Linked DNA regions of Drosophila melanogaster. The protein of the gene in region 1 interacts with the protein of each later gene in a pairwise test. Each region holds a gene or a part of one and is shown in the gene's direction. Other genes may lie near its edges. The genes, in order: cpa, CG9014, Tmlh and AdipoR.

Region 1 (4,809 bases):
ACAGAAGGCTGATGGCCACGATAACGCCCAGGAGGAGTCTCGCGGGGATTAGTCGCCTGCCAAGGTCGCGGCATTTTCGCTTGTGCTGCTGGTGCGTCTGTTGCTGGGCGGGATTTAGGTGGCCGGCCTGCGGGGTCGCCGACATATTGATGCAGTGGTAGCTTCTGGACATTCGCTGGACACTGGTGGACATACTCTCTAGCGGCGATCCGCCATCGCAGACTCTCTTTTTTTCAACCGCAACACTTTTGAGCACTTCTTCGTGAATCACCCAGTATTATTTCACTCACACACCTTTTACTTTTGTTTGTGTTGCCCACTTCTACTTCCACTTCTTTTTTATTCTATTCTATTTGCACTCTTCTTCTTGTTTCGTTTCTCTCAGTGTACCGTTTGTTTGGACTGCATTTTCATGGCAACCGCTCAATAATTATCAATCGAATCGAACTCGTACAGTGCGCGCCCTGATTGTTAACTGACTTATTCCGATTTCGGTGCAGCTGCTCTGGCTGATATTTTCGTTCACTTTTATCTTTCACTCGTCCGCTTGGGCACTCTCTTTCTCCGTTTCTGTTGCCTCCTCTCTTTCGCACCGCAAACAGGTAAGACCAGGTAAAAAAGTGGTTACACGCACACCGCCAAGCGCGCGCATTTGTGTGCGTGTGGTTCGGTTCGCTGCGTTGGTATGTGTGTTACCAACGACTTTTGGTAAAAAGGCACTTTTCGATGGTATTTCGTTGTGAACTTGTACTTTCTGGCGAATTATTTTAAATAAAAAGATCGCAAAACGTATTTTCTTTCACTTCGATCGCTTTTATTGTCGACTTACAACGAAGCTGCGGAGCCACACCGATTTTGAAACTGCGATCGACGCGCGAGACAACCGCTCAATTCAAAAGCAAAAACACAATGCAACAAAAACAACGGGCGGCGTTAGAGATGTGAGACACCGTCGATTCCTCGGTCATCGATAATTAACGGTTAATAATCTCGATGTTTTCGTTTTATCGATACTATATACTGTCTACACTTCTCGATAAATACGTTGATGTGAATCAATTACACTGGATTTAATATAACAAATATTTCTTTAAAAATGGAAGCTGGAAGATAAAAATGGCCCAGCTTGGGCTTTCAAATAGAATTATTAACAACTATTTTTCACAAACAAACAGGTTAATTTTAAACGAGTTGATCAATACTTTAATACTTATATAACTGAAAAATATTTAATAACCAAAACTAGCTACCATGTACAACAATAACATAATTTGCTTTAAAAAAGTTCTGATTGAGTTTGGTTTTGAACAGGCAATGATATTTATTGGTCTCGAGGAACTATTTCTATAATGTATTACATTCTACATCGTTAAAAGTTTTTTTATTGCAATTCAAGTAACGCGCCAAGACTTTTGCCATTCACCCGTCGGATTATGGAGCAGTGTAGACTGCCCGTAAAATACGGTGAATCGCATCCGGTACAGGTACACAAATATTTCCCATCCCTAGCAAAGAGTGGAAAAAAAAGTGAATCGAATCGTCATCGTCTTGGCCCATTAATTGCGGAGAAAAAAGATTGCAGCGCCGAAAAAACGGTCAAGGAAGAGTTCCAGCGACACCGCAACTTCCAACCACTCCACAAGAAGATCCCGTCGAAAGGTAGAACCCTAGGAACCGGAGGGGAAACCAGACCAAACCAAACAACCGCCCAGCCCCGATTTCGTGAATCACCAGTGGAACTATGGAGCAGACACCGATCACCGATGCGGAGAAGGTGCGCATCGTATCGGACTTCATCCTACATGCGCCGCCCGGCGAGTTCAACGAAGTGTTCAACGATGTGCGGGAGCTCCTCAAGAATGACACTCTGCTAAAGGATGGGGCTAGCCACGCCTTCGCCCAATACAACAAGGACCAGCTGACTCCGGTTCGCATCGAGGGCACCGATCATAACGCCATCATATCGGAACACAACGATCTGGGTGAGTTCAGTTCCATCAATGCCCTTAAATGGACAAAGCCTGCCATATGAGTCACCTACACACATTGTTTGGCTTTCGGTCGATATCTTGAGCCCCACACTGATAAGCAATTGCATTCCAGGAAACGGTCGCTTCTACGACCCGCGCACAAAGCAAGCCTTCAAATACGACCACCTCCGAAAAGAGGCTTCCGACTACCAGGACGTAGAGGCAGATGCCACTGCGGAGCCCTGGAGGGCGGCCCTCGACCTGGAGACGCTCGCCTACACTGCCAGTCATTATAGACACGGGGTAAGTTGAATGAAAAACGCTCTATTGCTTACAATAACCCGTAACATTTTCTCTACAGGTCAGCTCTGTTTTTGGAAAGGCGCAGGGCAACCAGATCACCCTGACCATTTGCATCGAAGACCACCAGTTCCAGCCGAAGAACTATTGGAATGGCCGATGGCGCTCCCAGTGGCATGTGACCTTCCAGGCGGGCAGCGGAACCGCCGAACTGAAGGGTGTGCTCAAGGTGCAGGTGCATTACTACGAGGACGGCAACGTCCAGCTGGTGTCCTCAAAGGAGTGCCGCGAAAGCGTGGTGGTCAGCAACGAGCAGCAGGTGGCCAAGGAGGTGATCCGTCTGATCGAGGACGCCGAGAATGAGTACCAGCTGGCCATTTCGGAGAACTATCAGACGATGTCGGACACGACATTCAAGGCAATGCGTCGCCAGTTGCCCATCACCAGGACCAAGATCGACTGGAGCAAAATCGTCTCGTACAGCATTGGCAAGGAACTGAAGACGCAATAAGACCAGGAGGTGCAAGCGGAAGAGGAGCGGACACAGTCGACAAAGCGGCCCAATAGTCTTCCACTTGCCATGGCCAAGCGAGCATAGGAACCGATCACCAGCATTAACACCACAGCATCCGAAACGAAGTAGCAGGAATACGAGAAACGAGGGCGGCCAGGTGCAGGTGCCTGCCGAAAAAGCAAATGTCTGTAATTGGCTATATACATACGAACATATACCTACTTATATATATATATACGGCCTGTATTTATACTGTGTTATACAACGACGAAAGTGCGTAAACATAACTACACATATATCGAGTACGATCGGAGACGATTTGATTGCAAGGATTTGGATGACTTTAGCCTGACGGTGAACGATGCACTGCCGCCTCGTCTACGTCACGATCGCCACCAATTGTCGCCTTTATCGTTTAAGAAGAGCATTAAACGCGGATTTTATCATGTCCTCTGACCTATGTATTATTCTAATTTTAAACGAATCAAGCTCGAGATCTGCGCTCTCGATGAGCCAGTCAATTCTTCGTGTCTTTGAAGACCAACCAGCCGACTCTCGACTATTTTAAGTGGTATCATTAGGAGCACTCATTCAAGTTTTTCGCTTTCCCGATTGTTCACAAACCAACCACCTAGTATGAGCATGAATAATAACTATGCTAAACCACTGATCATTTTTGCCAGCTCTCCATTGACAAACAATAACTAAAGACTTTGATTTTATAAAAACAATAAATTTGTAATTAAAATAACATAACTATAAAACATTTAAGATTGCTTGAATTAGTCAAATTTAAAGAGAATAAACTAATTGAATCGGACATTCGGATTGTCTTCACTTTGAATGTGTTTCTGGTTGTTGATCCGATGCGGATAGAATGACATTGGAATCAACTTGCTGGGCAGTTTGTTTGGTTATACTCTCGGGCAGATCGAAGGTTAGTTCCTCGGATTTTTTAAGCAAAAATCGTTTCTCTGGGTTGAGTTTTGTTTCCAGCTCCAGTCGATCGATCAGCCAGCCTCTATCCGGCTGATTGGACGCCCAAAAGTATAAAGTTCCTGCAAATATAAGGTTGGTAAACGCCAAAGATTTGCTTTCAAAATCGATGGATCTACCTTTATCCTTGCTGCCCCGCACAGCCACCTCACAACGCGCCTCCTCCGCATTGCAATTGTTGTTGGCGTTGGACAGATCGATGCCAGAGTCCTTGATGGGTTCACCCAGGAGACCAACTGCTCCTCGATGGCTCCGCAGTGCCTTCAAGGCCAGTTTGTAGTACTCTGCGGATTTCACCCGATCCTCCATCTTCCATTTCATGTACATCACAGCGGATATGGAGGCCACCGCACCGTAGACACAAATATTGCCCAGTGTTCGGTTCGACGGAAACTTGAGTCCAACCATCTTGCTAACGCTTTTTTATTTACAATCCAGCTGCTGTTACTTGTGTAATATACCGTATAGCCGGCGTCGAATTAGCGATGACAGCTGGTCGATATCGTTATGTGAAAAGGCTTATTAAGACCGAAGTCCACCTCTAAATGCATTTATATGCAAATTATTTGCAGAAAATATAACAACATCATCTATTGTTATGTTGTTTTAGTGACAATTAAGTCATATTATAAAATTGCTCATAAAATTGCTTTTCATTTAAAAATAATTTCGATAGTTATTTGTTTTGAAAAATCAGCTGACTGGTCGTATACTTTATAACCAGGGCTGCAGTGCCACACTTATAGTTAGCAGATTATACAACAAAACGCACAGTTTTGTAAATATCTGTAATTTATCATTTGTTTTTCTATTAAAGTGACGAAAACGGATTAAATAAAGCACATAGCAGACATGACCAGCCTAACCGCAGTTTTCCAGATGGCGAGGCAGCGATTGATAGCCCCAGCGATAGGAAACTGGGCACGTTTTTATGCTGCAAAACCGGCGGCGCCAGGTGAGCCTCCACATCCAGGTTAAATAGTTAACAACTAATAGTAAATGCATTCCACAGCGGGCAAGAAGAAAAAG
Region 2 (4,304 bases), on another chromosome or scaffold:
TGGGGACAATGAGGCACGTACTGATGTTGCAATGAAATGACAACGGCGCAAGAACAGCAAATATAAATGCAAATAAACATTGTGTGGCAAGCATTTGTGGCTCGTTACATGCTAACACAGAGCCACTCACGTAATGACTGTTTACACGTTGCTAACCTTATTAGTTGGGTTTCGTACATAAATACACTCGGAAAAACCAAACATGATCTTCTTGCACTTAAAAAAAACAGCACTCAAATGTACATATATATTTTATTAACAAAAAAAAAGGCACTTCTATAATATATAAAACATCATAAGCTATTATCCAAATCTTTCATCAGAGTGTGTGCATCCTCTAGGAGCCTTCGAATCATCAATGCTGATTTTCACAAATGCGGTCAGATCAGTTGGAAAAACATTTTTGTGGCGAGCTGTGTATATGCTTACGTACAAACTTATTAAATTTTCCTGCTTGAGTGGTTCGTTTTGTGTTTGCTGGATGATGGGTTTTATCGGAGCCAAGTCAAATGAAAATTGTTGATTATTTTCTAATGCGCTCCATCAGCTCAGAAATGTGAAATATTGCTATTGAACGTCGCAAAGCCAATGGATTGATAAAACGAACACCACACCCCACACGGACTTAATTATTTTGCACAAAATGCGATTTATTAAAGAATATTTCACACCAGCCGGAGTGGGGAATCGCATATCAATTGTGATTTATTCAACTCATCAATTCAAGCATTTCGATTACTGTTTTTCAAGATAAAAACGAAATGAAAGAATGAGTCTTGAATATTATGGCAAACTGAAAAGGCTTGAGCAGGAATTTAAAGTAAACTAAAATGTCAGACTGACAGTTGCATTCGGAGATAAGCATTTGGTAGCACTAGACTGAAATTGCAATCCAACGAAAAGGATTCGATGCAGTAAAGTTGTCACAAACAAAATGCACAAAAAGGCACACAAAAGCAAATGTCATTCTTAGGCAAAACATGAAATTTAATATCCAAGCGAATGACGCTTCCAAGTGAAATTAAAAACCGAATTTCCAGTCACACAATGCCCATTCTATTATACACACGTATGTATATACATTCGAGTTTGCATAGAGCAGTTGATATAGTGTAAATATTTTGACATGGCAATATGTTGTCACAATCATGCCTGTGTGTCGTCTGATGAGTGTTTGTTCGAAATTCGGCCATTGTGGAGCTGAAGATGGAAAGTTTATTTGTTTGCCCATGTCCCAGCATTTGCTGTTAATTTGTTAAAATTTCACTTTATAAATAAAATTCAACTCCTCGCTTCGCTTCGCATCGCTTCTCTGTGCAGGCTAAGTTAAAACGTGGTCGCCGAAGGTTGGCTGGACGTTTGGCATTATTCCGGGTTGTCGTACCATAAGTTTTCCAATTTGCATAACTTCCGCAGCAGTTGGGACTATAAATATGCAAAGGGTTTTACGACCGCACTATATGCAAGTGCCTCAAGAAAACGTTTTCTCAGACCCATTCGCCCCCACCCCACTTGCTCTTGGCCCACTTGGATGGATGACTCCCAGTGTTCTGTTGGTTGTTTGGCTGGTTTCAGTTGCGCTTGAATTGAAATTGAAGTGTCCTAAATGGTAGAAGGCTCAATGAGAGCTGTTTGCATAACAGATGATCGAAAGGCCTAGTATTTCTTAGCTTAAGAAAAGGATTTTTATTTACAAAAATAAACTATATATACTATTTATATAACTATGCATAACTATACACATAGTTGGCTTTTAATCAGATGCCAGCTCGGACACAACTCAGCGCCGACGTAAAAACTAACTTTTTGATCGAAATATTGTAAAAATCGAGTTTCGGATATAGGTATAAGTACATATCGAACTCAGTGGTAAGTGGATGAGAGTGGCTCCATGCCAAAAAAAAATAACATCTCAGATTCTCCAGCGACATAAACTTCGGTATAGAAATCAAACCATTTCGTCATGGGCTTTGATCTAAACTGCATTGTGGGCCACGTTGACGAGGAGCTCATCTGTCCAATTTGCACAGATGTCCTGGAGGAGCCGGTCCAGTCATCGGAATGCGAGCACGCCTTCTGTCGCGCCTGCATCGACAAGTGGATGATCCAGAAACAGATTTGCCCGGTGGACCGCTCCGGGCTACTGACCTCACATCTGGTGCCCGTTTCGCGCCTAATGCGCAACATGCTATCCCGCCTAAAGATCAAGTGCACCTTCTCGCAAAGCGGTTGTGCCCAAATGCTGGCCCTCGAGGAGTTCCGGACCCATGTCGCCGCCTGCGAGCATAATCCCAAGGTGGTTGTCGAGTGCAGCAAGGGGTGCGGAATGAAGGTGAACATTCTGGGAATAACTTGAACTGCTTAAGATAGCTATAATATTCCCGCTAAAGGTACCCAAGGACGAGATGTCGCGCCACAACTGTGTGTTCGAACTGCGCGAGCTGGTGGAGAAACTGGCGAAGGAGGTTTCCGATCTGAAGCAGAAGCAATCCGATATGGAGGAGCAGAGCTCCAGCCAGCGCCGAGAGATGGAGCTGTTCCAGTACTATATCGCAGCACTGCGATCGACCAATCCCATGCTGCGCAACATTGGCGAACAACTGGACCGCTTCTCACTGATGCAGTGGGGCCATGGACTCCCTCTGGCCAACATCCATACGTGGGGCAGTCTGATCTCCACGCCGGACAATCCCATGCACCTGATGGTGCGCGACGTTTTGCGTGAAAGCGGCTGTCCGATGCATATGCTCAATATGCTGGTTGAACGTTGCCACGAGGATCGCTGGCCCGAAGGTCTGATGACGTTGGACGATCGCCGCGAGAACCAACATCTCATGAGTCGGTATGTCACCCGATTGGTGCCCGGTCTGGTCATTGGCAAACCGTGCGTGGTTGTTCTGGGCGGCGAAAACACCCACATGCCGGAGAATCTGCGCCCCATCCTCGGACTGGTCATGATCTTCGTCGACGGTGTGAATGAGGTAATATTTGGCGAAGAGATTATTTAAGCCAATGATGGGTCACCACATCCTGCTTGTATCCTCCACATCTAAATTCATTTTGGTAACACAACACAAAAGCGCAACTGGCTGCCCGTTTTCCACGTCCTTTGTTTTGGAATGATGGTCATGTTGCTTCACTGTCTTAAATTACACGATCGTACTTCAAAAGTCGTCAAAATGAAAAATATAAATATGTTTTATCAATTCGAGTTACGTAAATAGAAAACAAACAAATGGTCGTGTTATTTTTTAATGTCGGACCTTATGAATAATCTGAGGGCTCCCAATACTATCGAAGAGTTTTTATGAAACGTATGTAATTTTGAAATTTTTAAGGTTTTGTTAAACTTCCCTCATCGATTGGTTCAGTGCAGCAACACTCACAGTTTAAAGTTGTCGTTGTAGCTGACAGATATTCTTCTCGGCAATTACGCGGCAATTATAGAAGCTCAGTGAACACTCGGGCGTATGCGTAATGTTGGAGCGAAATTAAATAAACGCATAAGCTGGGATTGAGGTTGCTCCTTCTGTGGGTGGGCGGTTGGTTGGGCTTGCGGTGGGTGCATCAAGTAAAACTTATAATGGAAATGGTAAAAGTTTGGCTGTGCTCGGTTCGCGGCAGTTGGCGACACCATTTGGAAAAGTTTTACAAATTGTACAAAATTTAATTTCCCAGCTGAGATAAATTTTCGGGACCATTACGATTTTAGCCTGCAATTGAAAACGAGATCTCTGATCAAATGAAAATTAATGGACTGCAAGCAGCTTACTTCGATGCGATGAGCTCACATTTGGGCAAATATTGTCCATTGAATGAAGTATACACCGAATTAGTGTCAAATCAAACACGACTCTTTGAACTAATTAAATGGTCCGGTACACACAAAGGCCATGTACGGCTAACTTGATTAAGCCAAGACGACGACGCAGTACAAAGGACAACTAACGAACTAACCACCGAATGCTGCAGCTAATACAATGATAGATGCCGGCACCTGGGAGCCCTTTAACTGGCTGCCTCAGGGCTTGCTGCAAAAACCGAAGCCTAATGCAACAAAAGCCAAAACTTAATTAATATTTACATGGGTCCTCCTTCGCCAGAGGAAGTAAGCTAAAGGCTCAGTGAAAGCTGATGTTGTGGCCTTATCTTGTCATGTTTGCATATGTGCAGTCGTCGCTCTTCCTGGTTCCTCCCCGCTCCTGAAATCCAGTGGCGATGGTGATGGTGCTCCGAGTCTGAAATGGAAGGTGGTTCTCCTGCATGGCTGCTAGAAATCAATTCGCATTGTTAACCCATGATTG
Region 3 (4,122 bases), on another chromosome or scaffold:
CACTATCCACCGACCACTCATTCCCGGTTCAACGTCATGGTCGCGTAGTTGGCGTCCCGTTCTGAGGGGCTCCGCTCCAAGTATCGTGCGCATAAGTCCGCTCTTATATTTAATTATTAATGTTCATTCGGTCCGGCCAGCGTCTTGTGGCATTTCTCAGCTCTTGCCGGGAACGCCGTGCCATCATCATCCGGCACCACGTTGGCTTCCATTTAAGTGGCTTTCACCTTTGTACGGCTGCGGAGCACGGCGAAAAAATCGCATTTAAAACGGAGCATTATCGGCTTTAGTTCGCTCAAGGCGAGCTTTCTCTTTTATGCACTTAAAAAAAGCATCCACCTTGGATGTCCAAGGGTATATCAACTCGAAAATTGAGTGGTCCCAAATGAACCAGACTGTTTTTAACAATTTTCATATCTATCTCAATTCATATCCTTTGCTCAACTGAAAGATGAAAAAATCTACTACGAAACATTAATAAATAGATTTTATATTATTATTAATATATTCTCTGTAATTATCGAATGTGTGCAAATTAAAAATAAAAGTGGTCGCATATTTTGCAGGGTGTACCAGAATTTTATTTTGATTTCACTGCCACCGCAGCTCATTTCCGTTCTCGAATAAGCAGAGAAGCGAATACACAAGGCTATAGCCATTACGGCTGAGGCTTGGACCACTCGACGCAGAGGATCAAGTGGTCGTAGCCGTGGCCATTAAGAACCTCAATGGCGGCAGCTGCATCCTGGCGGAACTTGAAGTGCACGTAGGCGAATCCCTTGCAGAGGCCGCTGTTTTTTTCGCGCGCCAAATACATCTTGGTGTGTGGTCCGATTTTCTTTACCAGCTCCTCGAGATCAGTCTCGGTCATGGATTCGGATAGGTTTGAGATGCGAACTGCCGACGAATCGTCCCGATCCCGACCCCGTCCCCAATTTTTGCTGCCAGATATGCCTCCGCCGTCCTTCATGAAGGGTGGTACATATTTTCCGGTCTTGCTGGGATCACTTATAGCGGCAGCTGCAGCGGCATTGGCCTTGGTTTCCATCACGGTTTTGCTATCCATCGAGGTGCCCTTGTAGGGACAATTGACACTCCAGTGTTCGCCATTGCAAATGCGGCACTTGGCGATGTTCTTGCCGGGATCAAGTTGGGTTTCGTGGGTCTGGTCGAAATCTTTGGAGCCGATGAATTGCATAAAGATCTCCTCGGAGGCCATTGTCGTCTGGGAATTGGGTCCGGGCTTGTCCGATCGCGAATCCCCAAACTTAACCCAGTTGCGACGACGAGCCACAGCCTTCGGAACAATCTGCTTCTCGATCTTGAAGGTTCGCACCACTTTCACCTTCTTGCCATCATCGTTGAACTTATACTCCGTCACGTACTTGAAGTCGCCCTTAATGTACTCATTAGAAGGCGGCAGTCCATCCACATAGTCCGCATCCACCTCATCGGCCCAGGAAGTAACGAAAGTCTTCATTTTTTATGATTTCCCACACAACCGGTACAAAATGAATTAAAAACTTAGAGATCTCTAGTTTTAGAGAGAGTTTTTCCATTTGAATTTTACTTGGCCTGTTGAGATGGGAAAAAATCCCTTTCAATAAAAGATATTTGAAATTAATATTTATATTTTCTTTAAAGTAATGATTTTTTAATAAAAAATACAACAACTTGAGTAGCAATTCACTAAGATAACTTTGCAACAAAAACATACCATTCAATCAATCTTGATTAAATTATAAATTTTTTTACTTTCATGAGTTGTTCTTAATAATTACATATTGTCTTTAAATTCAATAAATTTATTAATCTTATAGTTATTCCGTAAACAAATAAGTTCTTATCTCTGACTTGAGCATGAAAGTAATCGCTCTCCTACTGATAACAGTACAATTAAAACCGAGCTGAAACTTAATCAAACTTTGAGCTGTTAGTTCACTTTCACTGCTCTAGTCCGTCGGTTGTTCTATTGGCATTAACATGTTGCTTTTGAAGCACCCGAAAACCAGCCAATCAATAGAAATCAATGAGTTTTGGCTCCGTGATCATTGTCGATGTGTGGAGTGTCTAAATTTCGAAACAAATCAGAGGCGATACGATGTCTTAGATCTACCAGCTGATATAATGCCACTAGATGTCAAATACGACGGGATGAATCTACAAGTGCAGTGTAAGAAAAAATTGATGTAAAATGCACCTAGCTTCGATTTTATTGGCCTGCCATTTTAGGGAGTGATGCTCACAAGTCGAACTATGACCTGGACTTTATCTTCGACTCACAGCTGGAGAGGTTGATAGGTCGGCGATCAAAGTCCACTAATCTGACACCATGGAATCGTAGCATTATCTTGCAAAACGAACGGCACTTACGATTCCCATTGCCCCAGCTGGTTTCCAGTGATAACGAAGTCAGATCCCTGGTTGAATCTCTGGTGCGTTATGGCATTGTCTTTATCGATGATGTGGCTCCCACCGCGAATATGACAGAATTGGCTCTGCGACGAGTTTTCCCCCTTATGAAAACGTTCTTTGGCGAAATGTGGACTTTTAGCGATAACCCCGATCACGCGGACACCGCTTATACCAAACTTTACCTGGGTTCCCATACGGATAATACCTATTTCTGCGATGCAGCCGGACTACAGGCTCTACATTGCATTGAGCACTCGGGATCGGGTGGCGAAAATTTCTTTGTTGATGGTCTGCATGTGGTTCACGAACTGAAACGCCGGTATCCCGCCGCTTATGATGTACTGTGCAGTGTCCAAGTTCCTGGAGAGTACATCGAAAAAGGGGAGCACCACTACCACACTGCCCCCATTATACAGGTGGATCCACTGACTCAGGAATTTGTTCAACTCAGACTAAATGTATATGATCGCGCCGTGTTTAATACCATCCCTCAAGCCGAAATGGCCGAGTTCTATGACAGTCTTCGCCAGCTTTTGCTAATCGTCAGGGATAAGCAACAGCAGTGGGCTCTCAAGCTATGTCCCGGCAGCATTGTTCTTTTCGATAACTGGAGAGTGCTCCATGGTCGAGAGGCATACACAGGAAGTCGTACCATGTCCGGTTCCTATGTGCAGCGCACAGATTTTCTCAGCAAGGCTCGAGTGCTGGGAATTATTGACTGAAAGCTTATTGAAAAATACCTAATGTATACCGAATTAAAACCTTTTATGAACTAAGAAATTATGATTTATTTTCTATACTTTCTAGTGCTCCGCATATTCCTTCAGCAATCATTTATGTATTATATGGTCCGTACCGACTTTTATACTTTTTGCAATGGGAAAGTTTCATGCGGATAACTTTAACACTGAGAGATTATTTTGTGGATAGAAGAACATTTAACATTGATCAATAATATATATACTTTACATGTTCGTAGCTGACTCCTTCACTTCGATGCAAGATACTGGCTTAAATCAACATCCTTTCTGCATATATATAAGTTTGCTTTTGATTGCTCAAATAAGAACATATTTTAAATTCGGTTCATATATCAGGAATAGCATACATTGTTAAAGAATCGTTGCGTATAGAAAAAAACACGCAAATTGTTCAAGCATATTTTTCTTTTTTCTGAACCGAGTCCCACTCCAATTCAATTTCGATTGCAAATGCTAACGTATCATAATAAAAAGTTACGATTACAATTGCTGGCCAGCGTCTAATTTTTGTCATAGGGGAGTGGATCGCATACAGAAAACCAGCAACAAAAATCATTTGGCATTTGTTTTTATGGCCAGCGTCTCATGTGGGTTTTCTGTATTTGTGTGCGAGAGTGTGTGTTTGGCATAAACAAACGCACTTTGAACTTTTTCATTTAAAAGTGAAATTACTTTTTGTTGGCCGTGCAGGTTAATGGCTGTCGCGCTGCTGTCCTTTAAATGTCCTCCAAATATGGATGTGCCTTAAAGAGATCCGGCAAACGGTGAACGTACAGTGTCTGAATATTTATGATAATTGCATTTCATGCAGGTTTTCCCGCTCGCTTTTCCCGTTTTTCACCCAGCTCTCATATGCGCGGCCACGACCGGGAAAAGCCTTTAAAAGCAGCTTCGATGCCCCAGCTGGGCGATAAATATATTTTTGCTCGCTTTTCCTTCGGCGGAA
Region 4 (6,952 bases), on another chromosome or scaffold:
AGTTCCATTAGACCCTTTAAAATTAACAAAATAGATATGGATAATATTTTATATATGTAAGTTCCTGACACCACTTTTCTTTCTGTGTGCCCATTTAAAAAAACATTTTTCTAAAAACATCTCTATAAAGAAATGCTTAAAAAATTATCTACATTTTTATAATAAAAATAGTTCCATTAGACCCTTTAAAAATAACCAAAATAATAACATTTTATATATAAGTTCCTGACACCACTTTTCTTTCTGTGTGCCAATTTCCAGCTACAAAATTGGCTTTAAATAAACCGCTAGACAATTGATTTATTATCGCCGTCACGTCATTGAGACGAACTCAATTGGCAGCATAGTTATAAGTGCTTATATATATATATATATATGTGCCAATGTGGGGGATGACACGCCCCAACTCCATAACCTGGCACTTAATTTAACTACGCAAATAGGGTTTACGGGCGCAGTTAACACATTTCCAGATCGATGGGAAGCGATTGTCCGTCCAATGAATGGGTCAATTTCACGCACTTACTCTCACCAGTCTCCCAGATTCCCAGGTGATTTGTGTGACCCATGGTGATCCATGTACTCCACCCACGTGCTAAGTGCCCGGTCAAATATGCAAATGTTTGCCGAGTTGGATGCACTGCAGCTGTGTTGGTCGCCACCCTTCCGGGTCTTTGGCATTTCCATTTCCATTTGAAGCACATTGGCCGTTTAGCATTTTTTGTCGCGCGCTCGTCATTCAAACAGAAACAGCTCGCATTATCGGCGCTTCTCTTTTGTGATTATGACCCTGAACTTCAGCGCTACTAAATGTATTAATTCAGTCGATTAATACCGCTAGTCGGGGTCTGTGCGAAATCTGCTCCTTGGCCGAGTTTCTAACGTAGCTGGTCAGAACGCCGAGAGCTGATGGATGATATTGGCCTGGATTGGTCAATAGGGTATATCATCTTGATGGGCTGCCCCTGAGCAAAGCAAGTTCTATAGTCTTATGTTTGAAATTGAATTTGTTTAACAAAGATGAATGACTCTTGACTAAACATATTGGCCTTTATGTGCAATAAATATTCTAAGGGCGCTATTAAAACGTAGTTAAATTGCGCTATTAAGAGCTTGCCAAACAAGTGAATCTTTATTGGGCCTGCAAGGCTGGTGATATTTCCTCACTAGCCAAACACCATTTTGTCTTCCCAATTAAGTTTCTTTATTATTAGAATTGTTATTTGCCTACATTTGTGGGTTTTTATAACACCGTAATGCTATTTCTAAAAAAGCTATAATTAGACATTCTTGTATTACTTTAATTAATTAATTTAAATATATATATTTTAAGTAAGCTGTGATGTTGTCTTTGTTGTCTTTGCAAAAGTGTCCAAGGAATGGCAGATATGTGCATACTTAAGTAGGTTAAATATCGGGGAACTACACATGCTAATTCATAACTACCAGGCTTAAGTTGAGTTCATTGTTGATGTTTTTTAATGAGATGCCTTAACATTTTTTGAAAACAATTTCTCTGTTACTGAAGTGTTTACAGACTAGAGGAAAATTTTCTATTCATATAATATACGTCTTGTAATTTCGTCACGGTAATTTCTCATGAAAAAAAAAACAAATGCCTGTTAGGTATTTACGCAAATATCCAATATTTGGTCAGTTGAAGTACCACCTTTGATCGCCAATAAAAAGTTGTTAGCTCTCAAAAATGTTGACTAATAATGAAAGCACCTTGTTTACCGGGAGCAATACGATTTGCTGGCAAGCATTTTCAAATATGGCGGGCGCTGCGCAGAGTTGCCACATTGTTTTACAGAGCTGTGACTACAAAGTAGCGTTAACAGCCGTTAACAGCTGCTGCGTCAAGGTATGACCGCATTTCCTCCGTTCCCATATGATTGCTAGTGATTTTCCCTATCGCGCTTGCAGTCACACTGGAAAAAACACAGAAAAAATTAAATTAAGGGAAAACAGATGAAAAACTGCAATTGCACGCAATTGAAGCAAGTGCAGCAAATAGTTTTTCGCGCCAGTGTTGACTCCTGGGCCTGCCGTCGAAGCCACGCCAACTGCGCGACTTTCGAGTGGTAAGTGAATAGTAACGAAACGCCAGTGAAATCGAGTGATTAATCGTTCGTTTGTGTTGTGACACTTTCTGTAACTTCGTATAAAAAAAATGGGAACTGCGCAAGTGGAGTGCAGGTGGGGGTTAAGCCAGTTGGTAGTATTCCACTCACACGTGGCCTTCTGGCTGCATTTTCCATGCACTTTGCTATCTATATAATGGTTTCCCCGAAATAGCAACTGCACCTTAACCCACTGAGGATCCCACTCGCATTTGAACACCATCTTATGTAAAAACGTAATTGGCAGCTAAGTTTCCTAAGTGATAAAACACACAAAGCTACCAGATACAGACTTATGTGCTACGTACAACCGATTTACTGGGGAACAAAGGTCGCGCCATACTATATAGCAATGCGATCGGAGCAGACCAATAAACAAATAAACAAATATCGCATTTCCCAGACGAGCTAGCGTTGAGCTAACAAACGCTTAGCATTGCTTTCGAACAACTAAATTCGTATGTATCGTATTGAACAGAACGTATTTCTCTTACAGAATACTATTTGCGGAGTGCAAAACGAATCCGCGGGATCGTAAGACCATGGATTCGGCCACTAATCTCCTCGAGCAACAGGGCTCAGCGGCTGATGTGAGTGGCGGGAGCCATCCCGCCGAGGTGGAGGTAACCACCCAGGCTCGAGCCACTTTCGGCATGGACGCCGAAGGACATGCTACCGGCGAGGCGGTGACCACCACCACGGCCACCTTGCGTAGAGAAGGTTCAGACGAGGATATCTTTGAGCAGGTGCAGATGATCCTGCGCAAGCGACGTGGCTGGGGACCGGAGGACTCGCTTAGCCCCAATGATCTGGACATTCTGGAGTACGACGATGAGTTGGTCGAGGAGGATGACGCCGGTTGTCCACTCCCCTCGACCCCGGAGGACACACAGCTTATTGAGGCGGAGGTGAGTTGGGGCTATTAACCTTTATTTCCATTTTCCACCAGGTGGAAAAGTACGAAATGCAATCGTCAAAACATGTGGCGGAGCTCTTATCGCTGACCTACCACCATGTGGTTATCGGCTGCCACTTGTTAGTCGCAATTTTCCCTCTGCGCAGGCAGTCATTTCAATGTCGGGCGTCTTATCAATCGAAATGTTGCATTGGCCAATGTCTATTTGCCACATGCAAAATGTACCATAACCATTGTACTTAAACCTTATCGTGGCCATTTCTCCATTTTTATGACTCACTAAATACAATTGCTCAATTTAAAGCATATTCCATAGCCATTTGAAAGTTATACCTCTTATCTCTCCTTGCCTTTAATGTCTGTCCGAAAGGTGTCAAGTAAAATTTCTTGACTTTGAGCCTTATACTCTAGACAATCTGCCCGTTTGATCACCGGCTTTAAAGGTCAGGCTTAGATTGAACGCAAAAAGCTTTGGCATAGCCCTTTATACGACAGATGCTGGAAAAAAATCACAAATTTACGTCGATGCGGTGCTGATAATGCCCGGAGTCAGTTTCGGGCAAGCTTATCTTATCGCGGAACGCATTCGGTGCTTTCTTGTTCCGCCAACAAATTGAGTATGCGACTGGCAGAGGCTTCACAGTACAATCGCTCATTGCCTCGCACATTTAGTTCTAGTTCCGTTCGAATCTCTGTTAGCCGCTCAAGATGCAGACCCAGCCGGAGGTTATAGTGCGTGTCAACCCGGATCTGGAGCCGGATCTCAGTCAAGAAACTTACAGAACCCAAAACCCTGACACAGTCAAGGAGCAAGCTGAAAATGCAGTCGTTAGTCCCATTTGCTCTTAGTTTTTCTTTGTTATTAAGCTTTTTATATTTGTTTTGAGAGCTGTTTAATGTCTTATCACTCTATTCCACAGATGACGGAAGTGCTGAAGGCCGGAGTTCTCTCCGATGAAATTGATTTGGGCGCATTGGCACACAATGCCGCCGAGCAGGCAGAGGAGTTTGTGCGCAAGGTAAGCCAAGTGATGCTGCCAAGTGAAGAATGGCTTAAATGGAAGATACTCTTCAAGATTTGTAATATTGTAGCTTTTGTATTTTTGTTTTTATTTCAATAAATAGTATTAAGTGTTGGGACTGTATTTTTTGTTGTTGTTGTTTGTTTATAGTTACCAAACGTAATGTCTTATCTATAGAATGATATGTTATTTTTTTCCATTTCATCCGTAGGTCTGGGAGGCTAGCTGGAAAGTGTGCCACTACAAAAATCTACCCAAGTGGCTGCAGGATAACGACTTCCTACACCGCGGCCATCGCCCACCGCTCCCCTCTTTCCGTGCGTGCTTTAAATCAATTTTCCGCGTGCACACGGAAACGGGCAACATCTGGACACATCTTCTTGGCTGCATCGCCTTCATCGGCGTGGCATTATACTTCATCTCGCGTCCCTCGGTTGAGATCCAGACACAGGAGAAGATCGTTTTTGGCGCCTTCTTTATCGGTGCGATTGTGTGCCTAGGATTCTCATTCGCTTTTCACACACTGAGCTGTCATTCTGTAGAGATGGGAAGACTGTTTTCTAAGTAAGTATTCCTCGACTAATTAAATGGATATTATGTTAATTGTTTTGTTTACCAACAGACTTGACTACTGTGGAATTGCGCTGCTGATCATGGGTTCCTTTGTGCCTTGGCTGTACTATGGCTTCTACTGTCATTACCAGCCAAAGGTGATATACCTATCCGTTGTTAGCATTCTGGGCATCCTCTCCATCGTGGTCTCGCTATGGGACAAGTTTTCGGAGCCGGCACTTCGTCCCTTGCGCGCTGGCGTATTTATGAGCTTTGGCCTGTCGGGTGTGATTCCAGCTATTCACTACAGCATCATGGAGGGCTGGTTCAGCCAGATGAGCCGCGCCAGTCTGGGATGGCTAATTCTGATGGGTGAGTGCTTGTAGATATGCATATTAAAATAATGGTAAAACAATGGCAAAATACATCTTGCAGGCCTCCTCTACATTCTGGGCGCACTGCTGTACGCCCTCCGTGTTCCCGAACGCTGGTTCCCTGGAAAGTTTGACATTTGGGTACGATTCTTGATGGTTTTGTCCTTTGCACCGTTCTAACAGTCTTTTATTTTGCAGGGTCAATCACATCAAATATTCCACATACTGGTCATTGCGGCCGCTTTTGTCCACTACCATGGCATCTCTGAAATGGCCATGTACCGCGTCATGTATAGCGAATGCACTGTTCCCATCGAACCAATAACCTTTTAGATGCTGAAGTGGATGCCAAGAAACAATCATCGTAAAAGCACATACAATCCCATTCATAGTACGAGTAAAACATATATTAATGCGAACTAGCGCAGTTTTACAATGCAACCTTTTTAGCGTTTGGGGAGCATTTGTACCTTGTTATACAAAATCAACGGAACCATATAGAAGACAAAAACACACACTTAACACACAATTACACGCATTTATCATCAAAATCTTGCATAGAAAAAAAAAAATTGCAAAACCAGTTGATTGTCGAATGAAATCTGCAGTAGAGAAATTAATATATGTACAATTATTTATAAAATTCCAATTTGTCTACTTAATGTTGTCGTAAGTTGATTTACATTTCGAGTAGTGCAGAATTGCTTGCATCTGAAATTGGCAAAACGAGATGACTTCCGCTCAAGGGTTCCATTGCTAAAACAGGATCTAAAGGAGCTACCATGTCAGCCAAGCAATTACTTTAAGTTATGCAATTAGATGATCCCCTTGTGGCATTAGTATTTACCTTACCGCTTAGAGTTGTTAGGGTTGTATGGAGTAATGAACATACGTTTCATCGTTAAATGAGGTCTGATTTTATATTCACACATATACACAGCACATCACAAATTCCGCATCCCTGCACCCACACGGCAGAGCATCGCGCATGGAGCCTAAGATATTATATCACCATATACATTATAAATGCAGATCTATCACAAAACATAAAGCGAATCAAAACAATAAAAAAAAAAGCTGAGACTTCTAAAAGAGCGTTTTGGTGAAGATTGCTATATTAAGCCATATATAATTTTATTTCTTGGCGCAAAAACTATTTTAAGGTTTGCTGATTGCCATTGAGCAATTCGGCGGTTGCCATCACCCTAATGCCTGGCCATAAATATCGCTGCAGAGAACTAGAAATTCGCATCGGGGTTATTAGTGGAGTTCAGTCTGCTGATGACTGGGCGAATGCCGAGTTGACTTTGACCCCCTTGATGAAGTGAGCAGCCGTGGTCTAGTCGCCGAGATCTCGGATCGCGATCTGATTCCTCTGCTGCCTTGTGTTCTATGCGTCGTCATTGTCTTCGCCGTGTGCCAGTTTCTATCGACAAATCCGCAGATCGTTAAACCTTTTATTTTGCACGGCGCAAATAAATCGAACTTTGTACTTGACAACTTGTCGGCACGTGTCTTTCAACTAAATGCGATTGCAGGGGTTTTATTTTACAAACAAAAATTCAAGTTCAGCAGAAAAAAAAGCAAATGACTTGGTCGAAATAAGGCGAAAATCAGTTCGGAAGTTGGGCAAAGTGGGAGAAAACCAAAGCCAAAGAGAAATATTTTTAAAATGCCTTAATGAGGCGTAAGCATGTGCAAAGCTAAATGCTACAGTGCGGCTTGGATTTGATGATTTTGAAGACTACGCATTTTCGGATAGGTATCAAGCAAATGCTAACCATTCAAAAAGTTAAGCATTACGACGTACCATTACCATTAGCATTACATATATTTAATATTTGTTAAAATATATATTGTAACTTATTATTTTATTTCTCACATGGAAGTTATGAAGTTTTCACTGTGAAATCGAACATTTTGCCTCCTCCGATTCGCCCCCGTTAAATCCAAAAAATATAACTT

What was found.
Region 2: the proteins of cpa (region 1) and CG9014 interact in a two-hybrid assay, tested with the Drosophila melanogaster proteins (one large-scale study listed by BioGRID).
Region 3: the proteins of cpa (region 1) and Tmlh interact in a two-hybrid assay, tested with the Drosophila melanogaster proteins (one large-scale study listed by BioGRID).
Region 4: the proteins of cpa (region 1) and AdipoR interact in a two-hybrid assay, tested with the Drosophila melanogaster proteins (one large-scale study listed by BioGRID).

What each region holds. Positions count from the first base shown.
Region 1 is NT_033778.4:21,056,281-21,061,089, forward strand, and holds cpa (capping protein alpha), read left to right. Parts: upstream 1-1,506; 5' UTR 1,507-1,741; coding exon 1,742-1,982; intron 1,983-2,103; coding exon 2,104-2,273; intron 2,274-2,331; coding exon 2,332-2,781; 3' UTR 2,782-3,603; downstream 3,604-4,809. Other genes in the region: shg (shotgun), read right to left, coding at 1-193; CG15653 (uncharacterized protein), read right to left, coding at 3,619-3,842, 3,900-4,188; mRpL54 (mitochondrial ribosomal protein L54), read left to right, coding at 4,633-4,735, 4,793-4,809. UniProt on the Drosophila melanogaster protein: F-actin-capping proteins bind in a Ca(2+)-independent manner to the fast growing ends of actin filaments (barbed end) thereby blocking the exchange of subunits at these ends.
Region 2 is NT_033779.5:13,721,097-13,725,400, reverse strand, and holds CG9014 (uncharacterized protein), read left to right. Parts: upstream 1-1,758; 5' UTR 1,759-1,869; intron 1,870-1,916; exon of another isoform or gene 1,917-1,925; 5' UTR 1,926-1,963; coding exon 1,964-2,332; intron 2,333-2,390; coding exon 2,391-3,008; 3' UTR 3,009-3,240; downstream 3,241-4,304.
Region 3 is NT_033777.3:20,405,685-20,409,806, reverse strand, and holds Tmlh (trimethyllysine hydroxylase), read left to right. Parts: upstream 1-1,935; 5' UTR 1,936-1,983; coding exon 1,984-2,173; intron 2,174-2,232; coding exon 2,233-3,137; 3' UTR 3,138-3,192; downstream 3,193-4,122. Other genes in the region: eIF3g2 (eukaryotic translation initiation factor 3 subunit g2), read right to left, coding at 659-1,480.
Region 4 is NT_033777.3:22,542,791-22,549,742, reverse strand, and holds AdipoR (adiponectin receptor), read left to right. Parts: upstream 1-1,896; 5' UTR 1,897-2,084; intron 2,085-2,177; exon of another isoform or gene 2,178-2,359; intron 2,360-2,544; exon of another isoform or gene 2,545-2,619; 5' UTR 2,620-2,665; coding exon 2,666-3,031; intron 3,032-3,469; exon of another isoform or gene 3,470-3,656; intron 3,657-3,711; exon of another isoform or gene 3,712-3,747; coding exon of another isoform or gene 3,748-3,867; intron 3,868-3,959; coding exon 3,960-4,058; intron 4,059-4,272; coding exon 4,273-4,625; intron 4,626-4,683; coding exon 4,684-4,985; intron 4,986-5,048; coding exon 5,049-5,128; intron 5,129-5,185; coding exon 5,186-5,320; 3' UTR 5,321-6,050; downstream 6,051-6,952. UniProt on the Drosophila melanogaster protein: Adiponectin receptor. In insulin-producing cells, regulates insulin secretion and controls glucose and lipid metabolism.